Linked DNA regions of Diceros bicornis minor. The protein of the gene in region 1 purifies or fractionates together with the protein of each later gene. This does not show direct contact. Links are inferred from orthologs where the notes say so. Each region holds a gene or a part of one and is shown on either strand. Other genes may lie near its edges.

Region 1 (8,135 bases):
GCTTCAAAAATCTTTTCCTTTCCCTCCTGTCCATATGCCTACTACCACATTCAGACCTCAAAACCCATCTCCTAGAAAGGCACATTTAGTGGTGTGCTGGTAAACCAACTTAAAAAAATAAAAGCCTTCATATGTAGCATCTCCCGATGTCTATGGTCTCAATACTCCCACCATGATCAATTTCAAGTTATAAATAGCTTAACAAGCAGGTCACAAACCCTTGATTATTTAACAATTGGCTCTCATGAGCTGGCCCAAGCCAGCTCCAGCACACTGCCGGTTCTTATGGTAACCATGTACCTTAATTTGGTGTACTCAGAACAGTCCTGGTTTATGCCTTTTGTTCTGAAGTCCCATTTAGGTAAGCATTTATTCTGCCCCCTTTCACTCTCAAAAGTGTTGTCCTTTGGACATTAAATTAAATGGTCACCCATGTATTCCTCTTCCTGTTCTTCATATTCTCCTTCCTTCCCATGTTTAAAAACCCTCCCAGGTACCCTTCCACTTGGTTAGTTACCATCCGTGGTGAAGCGCCTGCACTCCTCAGGGGACATGCCTGGTTTATATGCTGCGTCCACATAACCGTAGATATAGGTGCTGCCAGAGCCACCAATGGCAAAGGGCTGTCGAGTCAGCATTCCTCCCAGGGTTCCGTATACCTGAGGGAGGCATCCTCAGGTCAGACTATAGAAGCATCAGTCTTCTCCTTCCTACTGAGACAAGCAGGTGGTCTCTGCACTCTGCAATGAAGCCCCAATATCTCATACCCCCATTGGTTGAGACCGTACTACGCTTTCAGAGGCAATGTCTTTGGAACTCATTGCTAGAATGACATATGACCTCCATGTCCCTCTACAGGAGAGTGGGGAACCTCAAGGGAGGGAGTGCATTGGGGAAGACTCGCCTGGCCCCCTTCACGTTGGTCCCAGCCAGCTACCATGAGATGTGCAGACAGATCCTCCCGATATTTGTAGGTGATATTCCTCACCACGTTGGCAGCAGCCAGAACAAGCGGAGGTTCTTCCAGTTCCATCCTGCAGGAAATGTTAGGAATAGGGGTCAATATAATTTCCTGAGGTTCCATCCTCCTGTGCCATTTCCATCATTCCTGCCAAGTGACACTTGAAACCTATAGCTGCAATGGTTCAAACTCTGGCTCCCCTCCCACATGTACAGGGGAGCCAGAGTCTCACGCCACCAACCAGTAACAAGATTTCAATTGTTCCCCTCCTTTACTCTGTCCCACCCATTCACCCCCCAATGGCATAACTCTCTCTTGGCTGCAAGGGCCCTGCCCACGTGGGTAATAGCAGATAAGCTTTACTTCCACCCCAAGACCTTGGTTTTTCATACAGTAACCGTCTGATATTTTGGTGGGCAACATCATCCTTTTCTTCCTCATTATTTACATTAGGATAGTGATTTAAAGTTTTCAAACTGCCTTCGCATATGTCATTTGCTTCTCAAAACAACCATCTGGCGAGGTAGGGTAGGTACTATTATCTCCACTTTACGGATGCAGAAACCAGCTTAGAGAGATTCAAGTGCCAGTTGAAAGCTAACAAAAGCAAGAGCTCAAACAAGACAGTGCTCCTGCAACAGGACACGGTACGGGGGTTCACTGCCTGCGGGAGCTCTAGCAGGTGTGGAGTGAGGACCCGAGAGCTTCGAGCTTCATACCCATGGAGCTCCAGCTGGTAGGCGGCCATGTCGGCCACAGCCTGGGCGTCAGCAGCTGAACCAGAGAGGGCACAGTAGATACGTTGGTGCAGGGGGGACAGCTTGTCAAACACTCGGTTCACCACTGCCTCTCTGTCGGAAAGGAGTCAACAGTCATCAACGTTAGAGTTGCAGAAATTTTTGAGGTTAATCGTCCGGTGTTTCTCAAACTTATTTGACAAGAGGACAGCCACATAGTGCATGAAATTCAATGCTTGGATTAAAGCAGGGAGCATAAAAATCGTCTCAAATAAATGAAACACTGCAAGTAATAATCAGAATTAGACTTACTTTCAGGCTTAGATTTTATAATAAAAAATACTAAGTTAAGAATAATGCTCCTTTTATCAATTTTTCTTTGCTATTAACCATCTTGAGGAAGTTATGTGTTTCATGGAACATAAAGTAAGTAATATTGATCTAATCTCATATGGTCATTTTGCATGTGAGGCAATTGGCCAGGAGGGAGAAAGACTCAAAATTAGTTCAACGTGTGAAAGATGAGAAACCAGAATATCTGCTTGGCAGAATCATCTTTTCTATCTAAAGAGGGCCCCTCAAATCTCCATCTCCTATCCCCTTCTTAGACTCTATTCCTTCCAGGGACAGGCCACATAAGCATTCAGGCCCCACATGCTCCTCCATGAAATCAGAGACCTGAGCACCCACCCAATATCTTATTATACTGGCCTTTCTGAAAGGTTAACTCCATTTCTCCAAAGATCCAGTTCACTAGTCTCTTCATGAATAGGTAAGAAAAACACATATTTAGGGCCACTAGCTTCCTTCCCAAAGCAGATACGTTCACTGATACTTACCCCGCAGACACCCGGGAATCAGAACCCACCACAACGCCCCCATCAAACTCTACTGCCATGATGGTTGTCTGCAGAGACACAGAAGATGGAATGTCAGAGCAGGCAGAGCCTTGATCCCCTCATGTTACAGATGAGGAAACATTCCTAAAGAGGAGAGGTAACTGGCTCAAGGGCATTCAATAATTCAGGCCAGAGCTGATTCCCACTTTACAGGATTTTTTCTTCCATCTTCCCATTTTCTCTATTGCCTCTCTCAGCTGCAAGGGAATGTCATAGCCTGGCCGTGGTACGACACAGAAAGAACCACATCCCTAAGTTCCAACCTTCCTACGTGGAATCCTTTCCACTGTAGGGAGAGAGTTGGGGATGAAGCTCCTAGGGGCATAAGCGCTCCCTTTGAGGGAAGGGCTCAGGGGGTACTTCCAAGCTTCAGTGAGGCAGCCCCACAAGTGAATTACCTCTACCACATGTGCTTGTTGTATGTGCAAATGCAGTACAGACCTGACACAGAGCAAGTTACTGTGACCTTGGGAAACAGCTCAGGTCTTTTTTTGGCCCTAAATCCCCCCCCGCCCCCCACTTAATCAGAAGCAAGCTTTTTCAGTTTACTGAACAATGGAGAAAAACATGGAGGGGTAAGTGGTTAGCATGGCCACATGTCAAGGAAGGAGGGAAGCAGCAGGGAGCACATGTGATGGTTTACAATAAAAGTTTCACTTAAGGATTTCTGATCAAGAGGTAAATAGATATCCCAGCAGCCAAGGGAAGAGGGAGTTGATTGGAGAGTCTGAGCTGACTTTTTCAGGTCAAGAAAAGAATTAAGCAAGAGTGAAGGAGGATAAAGCTACACTTTCTCTACTCCTGTTGAGTTGGAAAGAGCCTTAAAGATACTTGGCTCAAATGAGGAAACCGAGTCATAGAGAAGGCAAGTGATTCATCCAAGGTCACACAGAATTAATAGCAGACTGGGACAAAACCCAAGTCTAACTGCCATCCCTTGTTTGGACTTCTACTTCCTACTTGCCACTGTTCATCTGGCAGTGAGGGGAGATTTTCTAACATATTAGTGGTTTTACCGCTATCTTGCTCACCACTTGTCAGTTAGTCTGGCGCCTGGGGATACTGCCCTGACGATGCTTTCTGACATGCTGATTTCCCATGAGTAGAGGGCCAGAGAGCAGGGACAACCCCGTCCTAGAGGTCATTCCTCTATAACAAAGCTGCCCCAAGCCAAGAGTGGCAGCAGTAGTCTGGGAGCAGAAGGTAGCCAGCTTTAGGCTGCCACATCTCCAGGCACCCAGTCTGGACAAAGTCCCCAGCAGGCATGTGGGAGTGGGTAGGGAAGACACAGGGAAGGGAGCATGGCAGCACCTGGGCCATGCAGGCGCATTCCTGGGCCAAGCCAGAGAAGGGCACCATCAGCTCACATGGAACACCCATGATCAGTGCTGGGCTATGAGTTACTCAGGGACCAGTTTATCAAAAGTCTGTGTGATGAGGTGTCCCTTTGCGATCAGCGCCCATACTTCCCTCCCCCAGGTGTTGTCCTACTTCACCCAGGGCACCATTTTCTTATCTCTTTGCACCTTCTCCAACCCCCCTCCCAGTTCAGAGCAGCCCCTCTCTCCAGTTCAGAGTGAAAGCGAAAGCGCTTTAGAACAGCTTCCCCTTGACGTTTCCAGCTAAGAGCCAAAGCACCCCCTTCTCCACTACCCTCGAGTGCCCAGTCCCTTCGCGGACCCCTAGATGATCCCCTTCAGAATACAGATGCCCTATATCATTGTGGGGTGCAAGCACTGGCTGCTACAAGCTATCATCTCCTCACTCTCCTTAGTCTCCGCATTCACTCCTCGGCGCTTCCACCGTCCCCCATCGCTCTACTTCCTCCACCCCTCTGCTAACCCTCAAGCCCAGCTCATTACCCCAGTGTGGACTTCTCCGGCCCGGGGTAAGTCCCCGGTTGGTCCTCCCGCCCGCAGCATCCCGGCGCCGCGCTCCTCGCTGCCTGGGGCACTGGTTTCCGACCTGGGACAGCGCGCTGCGCGCAGCCTACAGCCCCGCCCCTTCACCACGCCCGCCAGGGGGCGCCTGGGTCCTCTCCCGAGGCCGCGCTTCCGAGCGCTAACCTTTGTGCGGCCGATCTGCCCGGAGACAGGTGACGCAAGAGTCCCGCCCTGAGGCTGGGGTGAGAAAGTCCCGACAAGCGGATCCTGCCAGAGGAAGCAAGGAAAGGAGGAGGGACGGCTGTGCGTGATGGACAAAGATGGAGCACCGGGGCTGCTCCCCAGAACCTCAGATCTGATTTCCTTAAGCCCTTTCCCCAAATCATCTGGGCCGGCCGTGTTCGGAAGGGGGCGGATCTAGCGAGCCGGGGACCGCTTTCGTTTTCTCTTTCCACTAAACCTGCTAGCGCGGACGGGCTCAGCCGGTTCCTGGGACTTTCCGAGAGCTCCGCCCCGGCCCGCCCTTCCTCCCTCCCCCAGCCGCCGGTCCCGGCGCCCGCTCGGGCACCGACTCGAACCGCACCCGGAGACTCCGGCCCAGCGGGGACGGCGGAGTCCCAGGCCCGGGCGCGACGCCCGACAGCGCCCGCGTGCCAATGGCCGGCTCACGGTCCCCCGCTCCCTGCGGGTGCCTCTGCCTCTCCCGAGCTTCCCTCGCGTGGCTGGGCACAACGCTGCTGCTTCTCGCCGACTGGGTCCTGCTCCGGCCGGCGCTGCCCAGAATATTCTCCCTGCTGGTGCCCAACGCGCTGCCGCTGCTCCGGGTCTGGGCGGTGGGCCTGAGCCGTTGGGCTGTGCTGTGGCTGGGGGCCCGCACGGTCCTCAGGGCCACCGTTGGCTCCAAGAGCGAAAGCGCAGGAGTCCAAGGATGGCTGGCTGCTTTGGAGCCGCTGGCGGCGGCGCTGGGCTTGGCCCTGCCAGGACTTGCCTTGTTCCGAGAGCTCGCCTCCTGGAGAGTCCCCAGGGACGCCGGCAGCACCAGGCTACTGCACTGGGGAAGTCGCTTCGACGCCTTCGTCCTCAGCTACGCAGCAGCACTGCCCGCAGCCGCCCTGTGGCACAATCTCAGGAGACTTTGGGTGCCAGGAGATCACGGGGGTTCTGGAGACGCGGTGCGTCGGCTTCTGGGCTGCCTGGGCTCAGAGATACGCCGCCTCCCGCCGGTTCTCGTCCTGTTGGTCTTCTCCTGTCTTGGTAAGGGGGGCGCACGGGGACAGAGAGGACGCTAGGGGACTCGGCAGGAATCAACAGCAATGGTCAGTGAGAGAGATTAGTATGCATTCTGGGAAATGTGGATCGGGCGAAGGCGACCGAGCTCGTGTCTTGAGAAGACCACTCCAGTGTAGACGAAAGAGCCCCGGACTGGGTGGGAGTCAGGAGTCGTGGACTCCAGTGCTGCCGCAGGCGTGGCTTCACTGGCCACCTTGGGCAAGTCCTTTCCTCTGGGGCACACACCCTATGATCTCCTAATTAAACTCCTAAAGGTCTGGCGGGGCCACAGCGTCGTGAGTTCCAGGGCGGCCTGTTCAGGTGCAGGGTTGTGTCCTCAGTGTGCTCTTTCTGCCACTGACCTCCGGGATAATGGTGAAGGGTGAAAGAGGGGTGGGTTGAGGCCAGTCTGGCTGGAGCTGACCTGCTCAGACTTGATATTAGTGACTGACCTCTCTCTCTCCTCTCCTTCCCCAGGGGAGATGGCCATTCCATTCTTCACTGGCCGCCTCACCGGCCGGATTCTACAAGATGGGTCAGCCGCTGCCTTCACTCAAAACATAGCTCTCATGTCCATTCTCACCATAGCCAGGTCTGGGCACTAAAGATGGAAGGCTGAGAAGGGGGGACTCTGAAAAAAAGGGAGTTGGAAGTTCGGGCTGCTGTCCAAAGTGCACTTCTCAGGGATACCTGGGACCTTCTGTCTGTCCCCTGAACACACCCTGACCCTCCTTCTCTGTCTCTCTCTAGTGCAGTGCTGGAGTTCCTGGGTGATGGGATCTACAACAGCACCATGGGCCGCGTGCACAGCCACTTGCACGGAGAGGTGTTTCGGGCTGTCCTGCGCCAGGAAACAGAGTTTTTCCAACAGACCCAAACAGGTTTCTCGTGAATCTCTTTCATTACACATCCATATATGTACTCTTAATATCCCCATACATCTTCTTTACTTATAACCTTGATCCCTCTCTCTCACATATGAACATTGTCATTGCTTATTCTTGTTATACCTCAAGGGCAAAATATGACACTCTTTACCTTCAAAAAGCCCTAGTTTTTCCATCCAAGATTTTTCCATAAATGTATCCCTATATGTGTATTTAGATAGAAACTACAGAATTTCAAGCCTGGAAATTTTGAGATCACAGAGTCCAACTGCCTCATTTTACAGAGAGGGAAACTGAGGCCTAGACCCTCAATGCTGAAACTTGCATGGTCACATATGGATAAGAGACGAACCTGGGGATGGAACCCGTCTCTTGATTCTCAGTTCAGTGCTCAGTACAGTTTCCTGCACTGCTTTATATTAGCACCCTCTGTTTTTCTCCAGCTCTGTTATATCACCAGCTTAAACTCTTCCTGTCTATGTGTACAGCATGGGATATACAGGTTTTTTAAGGAACAGAAATCTGTCAGAGAAACGGAAATTCACATGGGCATCAGTTTCTTTACAATTAAATTGAAGGTCTTTGGCCACGCTTTTCCTCTCTAACACTCCTTCTCCCTGCACTGAGATCGCCAAACCTCCCTATAGCCCTAACCTTGTTTTCCCCAGCCTCTTTAGAACACCACGTCGACACCCCTCCCCCTGGCAGCCAGGCTCATTGCTAGTCCCTCCCATCACTCTGCCTCTCACTCACTCCGCTCTCTTGTCCTGAACCCGGCAGGTGCCATCACATCTCGGGTAACAGAGGACACGTCCACCCTGAGTGAGTCTCTGAGTGACCAGCTGAGCCTATTGCTGTGGTACCTGGTGCGAGGGCTGTGTCTCTTGGGGCTCATGCTCTGGGGGTCACCGTCTCTCACCATGGTCACCCTGGTCGCCCTGCCTCTGCTTTTCCTTCTGCCTAAGAAGCTGGGAAAATGGCAGCAGGTATGTCCAGGGAGTCGCCTCAACTTACACAGACTCTCATCTCCCAGACTTGGAGGACTCAGATCCTCTTATATTTCTTTCCTGGCACCCTCACTGATTCTCCACCTTTGTAGGATTGCTCAATGTTGATCTTCATATTCTCTGTCTTCTCTTCTGGCCACAATCTATCTTTAAGAATATGATCACCAGTCTCAAGAATATGATCCCCTATGGCCCTTCTGAGTCATTTTCCTCTCGTCTGTATTGCTTTAGTATCCAGGGGGGATAACTGTGTTTCTTTCTCTTTTCTCCTGTCCCTCTGCCTCTTTCCACCTTTAGTCTCCATTCAGGTAACTCAGGTACTAGTGTCCCTTTGGTTTGTCAACCCTTTGTGACATCTCTTGTCCATGTCTCCACAGACGCTGGCAGCACAGGTGCAGAAGTCTCTGGCAGAGTCCAGCCAGGTGGCCATTGAGGTTCTGTCGGCTATGCCTACAGTCCGGAGCTTTGCCAACGAAGAGGGTGAGGCCCAGA
Region 2 (7,830 bases), about 320 kb from region 1:
CCCCAGTCACAACCCACCCGGCCAGGTACTTACAAGGTAAGAGGGGAGGCTACTTTTCCTGACTTCATTCTCTTTTGTTGTCTGTTCAGTTTCAGGCACTCTGTCTGAATATTGCACCCACCACACTCGTTCTCTTTTTTTTCCCACCCCAATTTTTAATCTCCAGAGTCCTTCCCTCTGCTTCTCCTCCTCCTCTATTCCAGACCTCTCTGACTCTGTCTCTCACTCCCCTGCAGATGAGTGTGGCCACACAGTGCGATCCAGAGGAGATCATCGTGCTCTCGGACTCGGATTAGCTGCCTCCCCCTGCTCCCTGCCTCCAGAATGTTTTGAGGAGAGTATTTGGAGGATGGTGGGAAGCAGATGACCGAGGAAGGGGTGAACTGAGCTAATCCCCTTTTGGTGGTTTCTTTTAAAATAAAATTTTAAAAAGCTTAAGTTTTACACAGAAACATTAATAAACAATAAAGTTCTTTTCCTATTGTATCTCTGTCTGTCCCTTGTTCTTTGGCTCTCACTGATTGGCACCACTGCTCTCTGGCTCCAGGTTAGCCCGCCTTCTGGTAGCCCTGGACCTGTCCTTCTAGCCTGCCCTTAGCATGCCCCTCTCTCCGAGTATCCTCGCTCTCGGGACTTCCCCTTGCCCTCTCCCAGGCATTAAAAAAATTGTGCTTCAGCCTCCTGGACTCGCTTTACTTTCTCACTTGGAGCGGTAGGAGTAAAAAAGCCAATCAGGGGCAGACTCAAGGTTATTTGGCCAATCCAGGCCCGGAGGAAGGGGGCGGGATTTCAGGGGGACTGTCAGAAGCTGGGAGACCAGGGCGATTAGATCCCGCAAACCCGCTAATGGACACAGCTCAGGGGCGGAGCCTAGGCAGCGGTGGCCATGACCCATCGCCAATGGGAAGAGGCAGGCTTACAGAATTAAAGGGGAATGAGTGCTTCGGCGAAACCAAATCCTGAGTCCTCAGCGGCGGAAGGGACCTGGTAACTTTAAGGTGGAACGCGGCGACTGTACTTTAAAGGAGAAGTGGCCGAGTCGGCCGAGTATTGCCCAGCGGCACGGGCGGGGTGCCCGCCTGTGCCTTTAAAGCCGGAGGGGCGGGAGGCGGAGCGGAGGCGGAGGGCGGAGGGAGTCGGCGCAAGATGGCGGCGGGAGGGGCCCAGGCTGCGGCTCTGGCCGCCAAGTGAGGGGAGGGGGGGCCCGGGGGCGCGCGGCTCGGTAAGCGGGGACGCGCGGAGTTGGGGGGCGCCTTCCGGGTGGGAGAGGAGGTCAAAGTAGCGCTTGGGGCGGAGCAGAGGGGGGGCGGGGTCCGGTGTGGGCGGGGGTAGACAAGGGGCGGAGCCGAAGGGGCCAAGAGGCGGGTCTTGAAGGGGCGGGGCTGGAGGTAGGTGGGGGTAAAGGGGCGTGGCCTGCGAAAGAGCCGGGGGTGGTATAGCCTAAATGGAGACGGAGAGAGGGATAGTTTTCAGTACAGGAACAGACTTTTCCCTCTCCTAAGAAAAGAGTACCAAACACCAAAAAGGTAAATTTTAGAAAGTCCGGCTCAGGCAAATGGGAAATTTGAAGGGGAGGTATCCCCCTCCCCAAGAGCACCTTATTTCTCTAACCTCCAAGGAAAGAGCACTGGATTTGGAGTCAATACACCTGTGTTGGTGCTGCCGTTTACTGGCTGTGTGACCTTGGATAATCTCTTAATCCTTTTGACCCTCAGTTTCCTCATCTGTCAAATGGGGTTTCGAGGAATACCTACCTCACAGTGTGGTTGTGGGGAGTTACTCAGATAGCCGGTGAAACATGTCTGTAAACTGTAAAGGGCTATGACATTATGAGATACTATCATTCTTCTCTCTTTTTCTTCCCAGAGACCCCCCCGGCCGCCCTCCTCTTTCCCTTGTTCCTGTGGCTGGGGGGGGTACCCCCTCCCTCCACACCATGGAGCCATCTCCTCTGTCTCCCAGCGGTGCAGCACTCCCCCTGCCTCTGTCGCTGGCCGCGCCCCCACTGCCCCTGCCTGCAGCTGCGGTGGTGCACGTATCCTTCCCTGAGGTGACCAGTGCCCTGCTGGAGTCCCTCAATCAGCAGCGGCTGCAGGGCCAGCTCTGTGATGTCTCCATCCGGGTGCAGGGACGAGAGTTCAGGGCTCATCGTGCTGTCCTGGCTGCCTCCTCCCCTTACTTCCATGACCAGGTCCTACTCAAGGGCATGACCTCCATCTCACTGCCCAGCGTCATGGACCCAGGCGCTTTCGAGACTGTCTTGGCTTCGGCTTACACTGGCCGCCTCAGCATGGCTGCTGCTGACATTGTCAACTTCCTCACAGTGGGATCTGTGCTCCAGATGTGGCACATCGTGGATAAGTGCACTGAACTCCTCCGAGAAGGCCGGGCCTCGGCCACCACCGCCGCCACCACCACTGCTGCAGCCTCCTCAGTCACTGTCCCTGGTGCTGGGGTCCCGTCAGGGAGTGGGGGCACCGTGGCCCCTGCCGCCATGGGCTCCATGCGCTCCCATGCCTCCAGTCGGGCCAGTGAGAATCAGTCCCCCAGCAGCAGCAACTATTTCAGCCCCCGGGAGTCCACTGATTTCTCATCTCCCTCCCAAGAGGCATTTGCAGCTCCTGCAGTGGGCAGCGGGGAGCGTCGAGGAGGCGGCCCTGTATTCCCAGCCCCTGTGGTTGGCAGTGGGGGGGCTACTTCTGGGAAGCTGCTGCTGGAGGCAGATGAGCTTTGTGATGACGGTGGGGATGGGAGGGGTGCAGTGGTCCCTGGGGCTGGGCTCCGGCGACCCACCTATGCACCCCCCAGCATCGTGCCGCAGAAACACTGGGTATATGTGAAGCGAGGTGGAAACTGCCCAGCATCAGCGCCCCTGGTTCCCCAAGACCCAGATCTGGAAGAGGAGGAGGAGGAGGAAGACCTGGTGTTGACGTGTGAGGATGATGAAGATGAAGAGCTGGGGGGTGGCTCTGGAGTTCCAGCAGGGGGAAGACCTGAGACTACCCTTAGCATAAGTGATGTCCGGACCCTGACTGAACCTCCGGACAAGGGAGAGGAGCAGGTCAATTTCTGTGAGTCCTCCAATGACTTTGGCCCCTATGAGGGTGGGGGTCCTGGGGCAGGGCTTGATGATTCAGGGGGGCCAACCCCTTCCTCCTATGCCCCGTCCCACCCTCCGAGGCCCCTGCTTCCCCTGGATGTGCAGGGCAACCAGATCCTAGTCTTCCCATCGTCCTCCTCCTCCTCCTCACAGGCTTCAGGCCAGCCACCAGGGAACCAAGCTGAACACGGGGCAGTGACCCTGGGGGGCACATCGGCAGGGGCCCTGGGGGTGCCAGGCGGCGCTGGAGGGACCCCTGGAGGGACAGGCGGCGGGGATGGGAATAAGATCTTTCTGTGCCACTGCGGGAAGGCCTTCTCCCACAAGAGCATGCGCGATCGGCATGTGAACATGCATCTCAACCTGCGGCCCTTTGACTGCCCCGTGTGCAACAAAAAGTTCAAGATGAAGCACCACCTGACCGAGCACATGAAGACGCACACAGGCCTCAAGCCCTACGAGTGCGGCGTCTGCGCCAAGAAGTTCATGTGGCGCGATAGCTTCATGCGCCACCGGGGACACTGTGAGCGCAGGCACCGCCTGGGCGGGGGCGGGGGCGGGGGCGGGGCCGGGCCGGGACCCGGCGCGCCCACGGGGCCAGCCTTACCGCCCAAGAGAGAGTCCCCCGGGGTGGGCGGGGGCAGCGGCGACGAGGCTAGTGGGGCCACGCCCCCGTCTAGCCGACGGGTCTGGTCCCCACTCAGCGTCCACAAGGTGGAGATGGGCTTCAGTGGGGGCGGAGGAGCAAACTGAAGGGACAGGCTGCTTGGGAGTAGCTTTCGGGGAAGAGGGAATAGAGATCACGAGCCAGGGGTTACTGTGGCCCCCAGGCGATGTCCCACCACACTTACTGTCTTCCTTATCTCTATGGACTTGTATATATTCTTCAGGGGGAACCATGTTGCACCATCGGCCACCCATTCCACGTGTCAGCCCCTCCCCCCCCAAAGTATCCCCGGAACTAAGCCCTCTCTTCGCTTCAGATGGGTACGCTGAAGCCCCAGCTCCAGAGTAGGGCTCATATGGTTGGGGAGGAGGCGGGAGAGGGGGCCTGTTGAGCATCGTGGAGTCACAGGGTCAGGGGTCAGGTGGTTATAGTCTGTACCTAAGTCTGTGTTTGTGTTGTCGTGGGGACCACGCCTTTGAGCCCCACCCTTGTCCTAGGACCCACCCCGTCCCCCGAAGGATGTGCCCCTTATTTCTACCCTAATCCCAACCCTTCCCCCACCTTGGGGTCCCCCAACTCGATTTTCATCGGGGAGGGAGTGGAGACAAGGAGGAGGTCGTAGGAGTACAAGCTTTTTATTTTAAATCTTATTTTTTTTAAACCATCATTAAAATATTTATTGGTCATTTCACTTGGCTTCCCGACAACCCCTATGTGTTTGCTGGGAAACTGGCAGAGGTCGGGGAAGGCGGAGTAGTGGTTCTTCGCAAAGTGGATTCTGGGGGGAAATGATCGGGGGCGGGGCCTATGGTTGGGGAGGGCTCTGGGACTGGGCAGTGCTGGTGCGGTCAGGAGGGCGGGGCGGGGCTGAGGTCCCAGACCTGAACTGAAGAGAATGTTCCGGGATCCCTGCCCCGCCAGTGGGGGAAACACCTGCCGCCCACGTGCCCTCACCTAACCGGAGCGGGGGTTGCCTCCGCCCCTCCTGATGGCCTTGAGAGTAAAGAGAAAGTGAAAGGGGAAGAGCAGGCTTCCGGGCTGAGGAGATCGCGGCGCCATGAAGCCCTTGTCCTTTCTCCTCGCTGTGGTTTTGGGTGAGCGAACCCCCGGAGTCTGCCCAGGAACGAGGGGGAAGCGGAGGGAGGTGACCCTGCCACGCGCCTGCCGCCGGGGGGTGGGGGTCGGGTCATCTGACGTCTGGGCCGCCCCCTCACTCGCGCCGCTCTGCCCCAGGCTTGGCGACCGCCGTCTCGGCCGGACCTGCGGTGATAGAGTGCTGGTTCGTGGAGGATGCGGGCGGGGGCCGCCTGGCCAAGAAACCCGCTGCACTGCTGCTGCGCCAGGGCCCGGGGGGACCACCTCCCCGGCCGGACCTCGACCCGCAGCTCTACCTCAAAGTGCATGGTGAGTCATCCCGGACTCGCTCCCACCTCTGTCGCCTGCACCGAAAACCCTCCTCTTTAGGTCGCACAGTGCCCTCGGGCTTCAGTTTCCCCCTCTGTAAAATGAGTCTGGTTACCTCCAAATTTCTCACTACCAAGTAGTCTGTGCATTTGAAATTCCCTGGACGCTGCCCTCACCGCGCCTGGCGGTGACTCTAGAGCTCAACTCTCTTCTCTCACAGACCCGGCGGGCGCTCTCCAGGCCGCCTTCAGGCGGTACCCCCCGGACGCCCCCGCGCCACACTGCGAGATGAGCCGCTATGTGCTGCTCCCCGCCTCGGCGAATTGGGCCAGCGGCTTGACCCCGGAGCACAACTGCCCGCGGGCTCTGGACGGGACTTGGCTCATGGTCAGCGTGTCCAGCCAGGTCCTCAGCCTCTCCGGCCTCCTGCGACCACAGTCCGAGCCTCAGCCCGAGCCCGCTCTCATCACCACGGCAACAGGTAGCTGGGGAGGGGAAATGGAGCGAATGGGTAAATTCTAAGGGTCCAGATCAGCTGGTGACTCGCTATGTGGACTTGAGCCAGTCATTTCCCACATCGAGTCTCAGTTTCCTTACTTATAAAGCGAGGCGGTTCGGCAGGAATTAAACAATCTATCTCTACCGCTTCTTCTAGCCCCGCCCAGTAAAAAATCCCCCCAAATCAAAGAAAACCAAAACCCTGCAGCTTGGGGACGGGGCTTCGTGGTCGGAAGGGCGGAGCTTTGGAGCGAGGCGGGGTTTCCGGACACCGGACCTTAAGAAACTTTTTAGGCGGCGCGGTTGGGAGGGGCTCAGAAGCAGGAACTTTTTTCTCCTCTCCTCCCAGATCTGTAGGCACCCACACCTTTGTGGTTCACCCTGTTTCAAAAACCAGTCTTCGAGCCCCACCGGGTCCACATCCATCGCTGCAGCAGTCAGCAAGGAAAGGCTCTTGCGCTCGAGCGCGTTCACTTCCCTGACAGCCCCTTCCCTATGGCGCGTGGGGATGCGCTGATTCTGTGGTCACCAAGCGGTGGGCTCGGGTGGGCGGAAGGGACATGGCAGGAGACCTGATAGTCCTCACTGCAAGGGACCTGATAGTCCTCACTGCAAGGATCGCTGATTGCATCGTGCAACGCGGTCTGAGGCCCAGCGGTCGGGCACTTTGCTGGGCTGGGGCGCGGAGAAGGAGTGGGCAGAAAAAGCAAGAATGGGGAAGATCTGATTGGGATATCTGGCAGCTCTCCCTTTTCGCAGCGAAGTGTGGGTAGGATGTGAGTAGGTAGAGTCCTCGGCTTCCCTCAGTCTTGTGCGATTTTATGCGGGCGGGGGCCGCCTGGCCAAGAAAGTCCACAGCCGGACTGGCAGGTCAATCCCAGCCGAGCCCTGCACCCTCCCTTCCCCAGTACCTCCTCCCAGCCACTCTCCTCACTGTCAGACAATCACCCACAGGACCAGGGAAACGGATTCAGCACCCACCCCGCAATCTTCACCTCTGCCTACACCTCCATTCTTAGTTCCCAGACCCCACCCTGGGCAGGGGCAGAGGCAAACTGCTGCTCGTGGGGACAGTAGCTCTCTCCAGTGAGGAGGAGTATTTTCCAGGGCTGCTGGCTTCACCGAGGTGGGGGGTGAAAATGTCCTTTTCTCTCTGAGTCTGTTTTTCCAAATGTAAAATGTAGATGCTATTTCCAATCTGCCTTACCCTTGTTGTGACTATCATGGGAGACACTTTGTTAATTTATTCACTGATTCAATAAATATTTATTAGCACCCAGAATAAATTAGGGCCCAGTAGTTCTCAGTCCAGGCTGCAAATAAGAATCTTCTTGAAGTTTCTAAAATATACTGAAACCTGGGTCCCACTCCAAGGGAATTAAATGAGAATCTCTTGGTGGCCCCGGGCACTTTTAAGGGTCACAAAGGTGATCAGATGTAGATTCTGCTCTCTAGAAGGTTCTAGGCAGATTTGTCAGAGGTAATTGTTATGTAGATTAGAAAGTGACTTGGGCCTTGAAAGAAGTGCAGATAGGAAACCATGGGAGTGCCCAGGGGGGGAAATTATCTACATCTCACAGACCACTGGGGGTAAAAACTCACTGCTGTGCTCAGTCTTCCTTTTCAAGCATTTCTGCTTGATTAGGGACTGAAGAAAATGAAAGTTGTTGTTTTAATGTAAAATTAAAAATGGAATCTTTCCAGGGTCAGATCATTGGTAATCTTGCTAATATACATTTATACATTATTTCTTATCAAATACTTTCAAATGTTTGTTAACAAATTTACTTTGTTAACATACTTTGTGTGTATGGTATTTAATTCTCATCATTCTTTTAAAACATTGTTATGGGAAATTTCAGATACACAAAAGTAGAGAGAATCATATAATGAACTCCCATGTACCCATCACCCATGGTATAGTTATTACATTTTACCAAATTGTTTTACCTACTCTCCCCCCACCTTCTTTTCTCTTTTCGAAGTGTTTTAAAGTATATCCCAGGCATCATATTCTTTTACTCATAAGTACTTCAGTAGGCATCTCTATTAAATAAGGACTATTAAAAAAATACAACCACAAAACCATTATCATACCTAACAAAACAAACAATAATTCCTTAATATCATTTAATTCCTAGCCTATATTAAAATTTTCCCA

The links.
Region 2: the proteins of TAP1 (region 1) and TAPBP purify together in Homo sapiens (co-immunoprecipitation; 6 studies listed by BioGRID and IntAct, with this or other methods). This does not show direct contact. The link is inferred for Diceros bicornis minor from reciprocal best matches to the Homo sapiens genes TAP1 and TAPBP.

Annotation. Positions count from the first base shown.
Region 1 is NC_080753.1:31,464,509-31,472,643, forward strand, and holds the start of TAP1 (antigen peptide transporter 1), read left to right. Parts: upstream 1-4,966; 5' UTR 4,967-5,136; coding exon 5,137-5,734; intron 5,735-6,226; coding exon 6,227-6,341; intron 6,342-6,499; coding exon 6,500-6,630; intron 6,631-7,416; coding exon 7,417-7,622; intron 7,623-8,020; coding exon 8,021-8,135. Other genes in the region: PSMB9 (proteasome subunit beta type-9), read right to left, coding at 518-659, 905-1,034, 1,681-1,812, 2,538-2,605, 4,460-4,519. UniProt on the Homo sapiens protein: ABC transporter associated with antigen processing. In complex with TAP2 mediates unidirectional translocation of peptide antigens from cytosol to endoplasmic reticulum (ER) for loading onto MHC class I (MHCI) molecules.
Region 2 is NC_080753.1:31,148,266-31,156,095, forward strand, and holds the start of TAPBP (tapasin), read left to right. Parts: upstream 1-4,639; 5' UTR 4,640-4,824; coding exon 4,825-4,861; intron 4,862-5,000; coding exon 5,001-5,171; intron 5,172-5,391; coding exon 5,392-5,652; intron 5,653-7,830. Other genes in the region: DAXX (death domain-associated protein 6), read left to right, coding at 1-36, 237-296; ZBTB22 (zinc finger and BTB domain-containing protein 22), read left to right, coding at 1,937-3,853. UniProt on the Homo sapiens protein: Involved in the association of MHC class I with transporter associated with antigen processing (TAP) and in the assembly of MHC class I with peptide (peptide loading).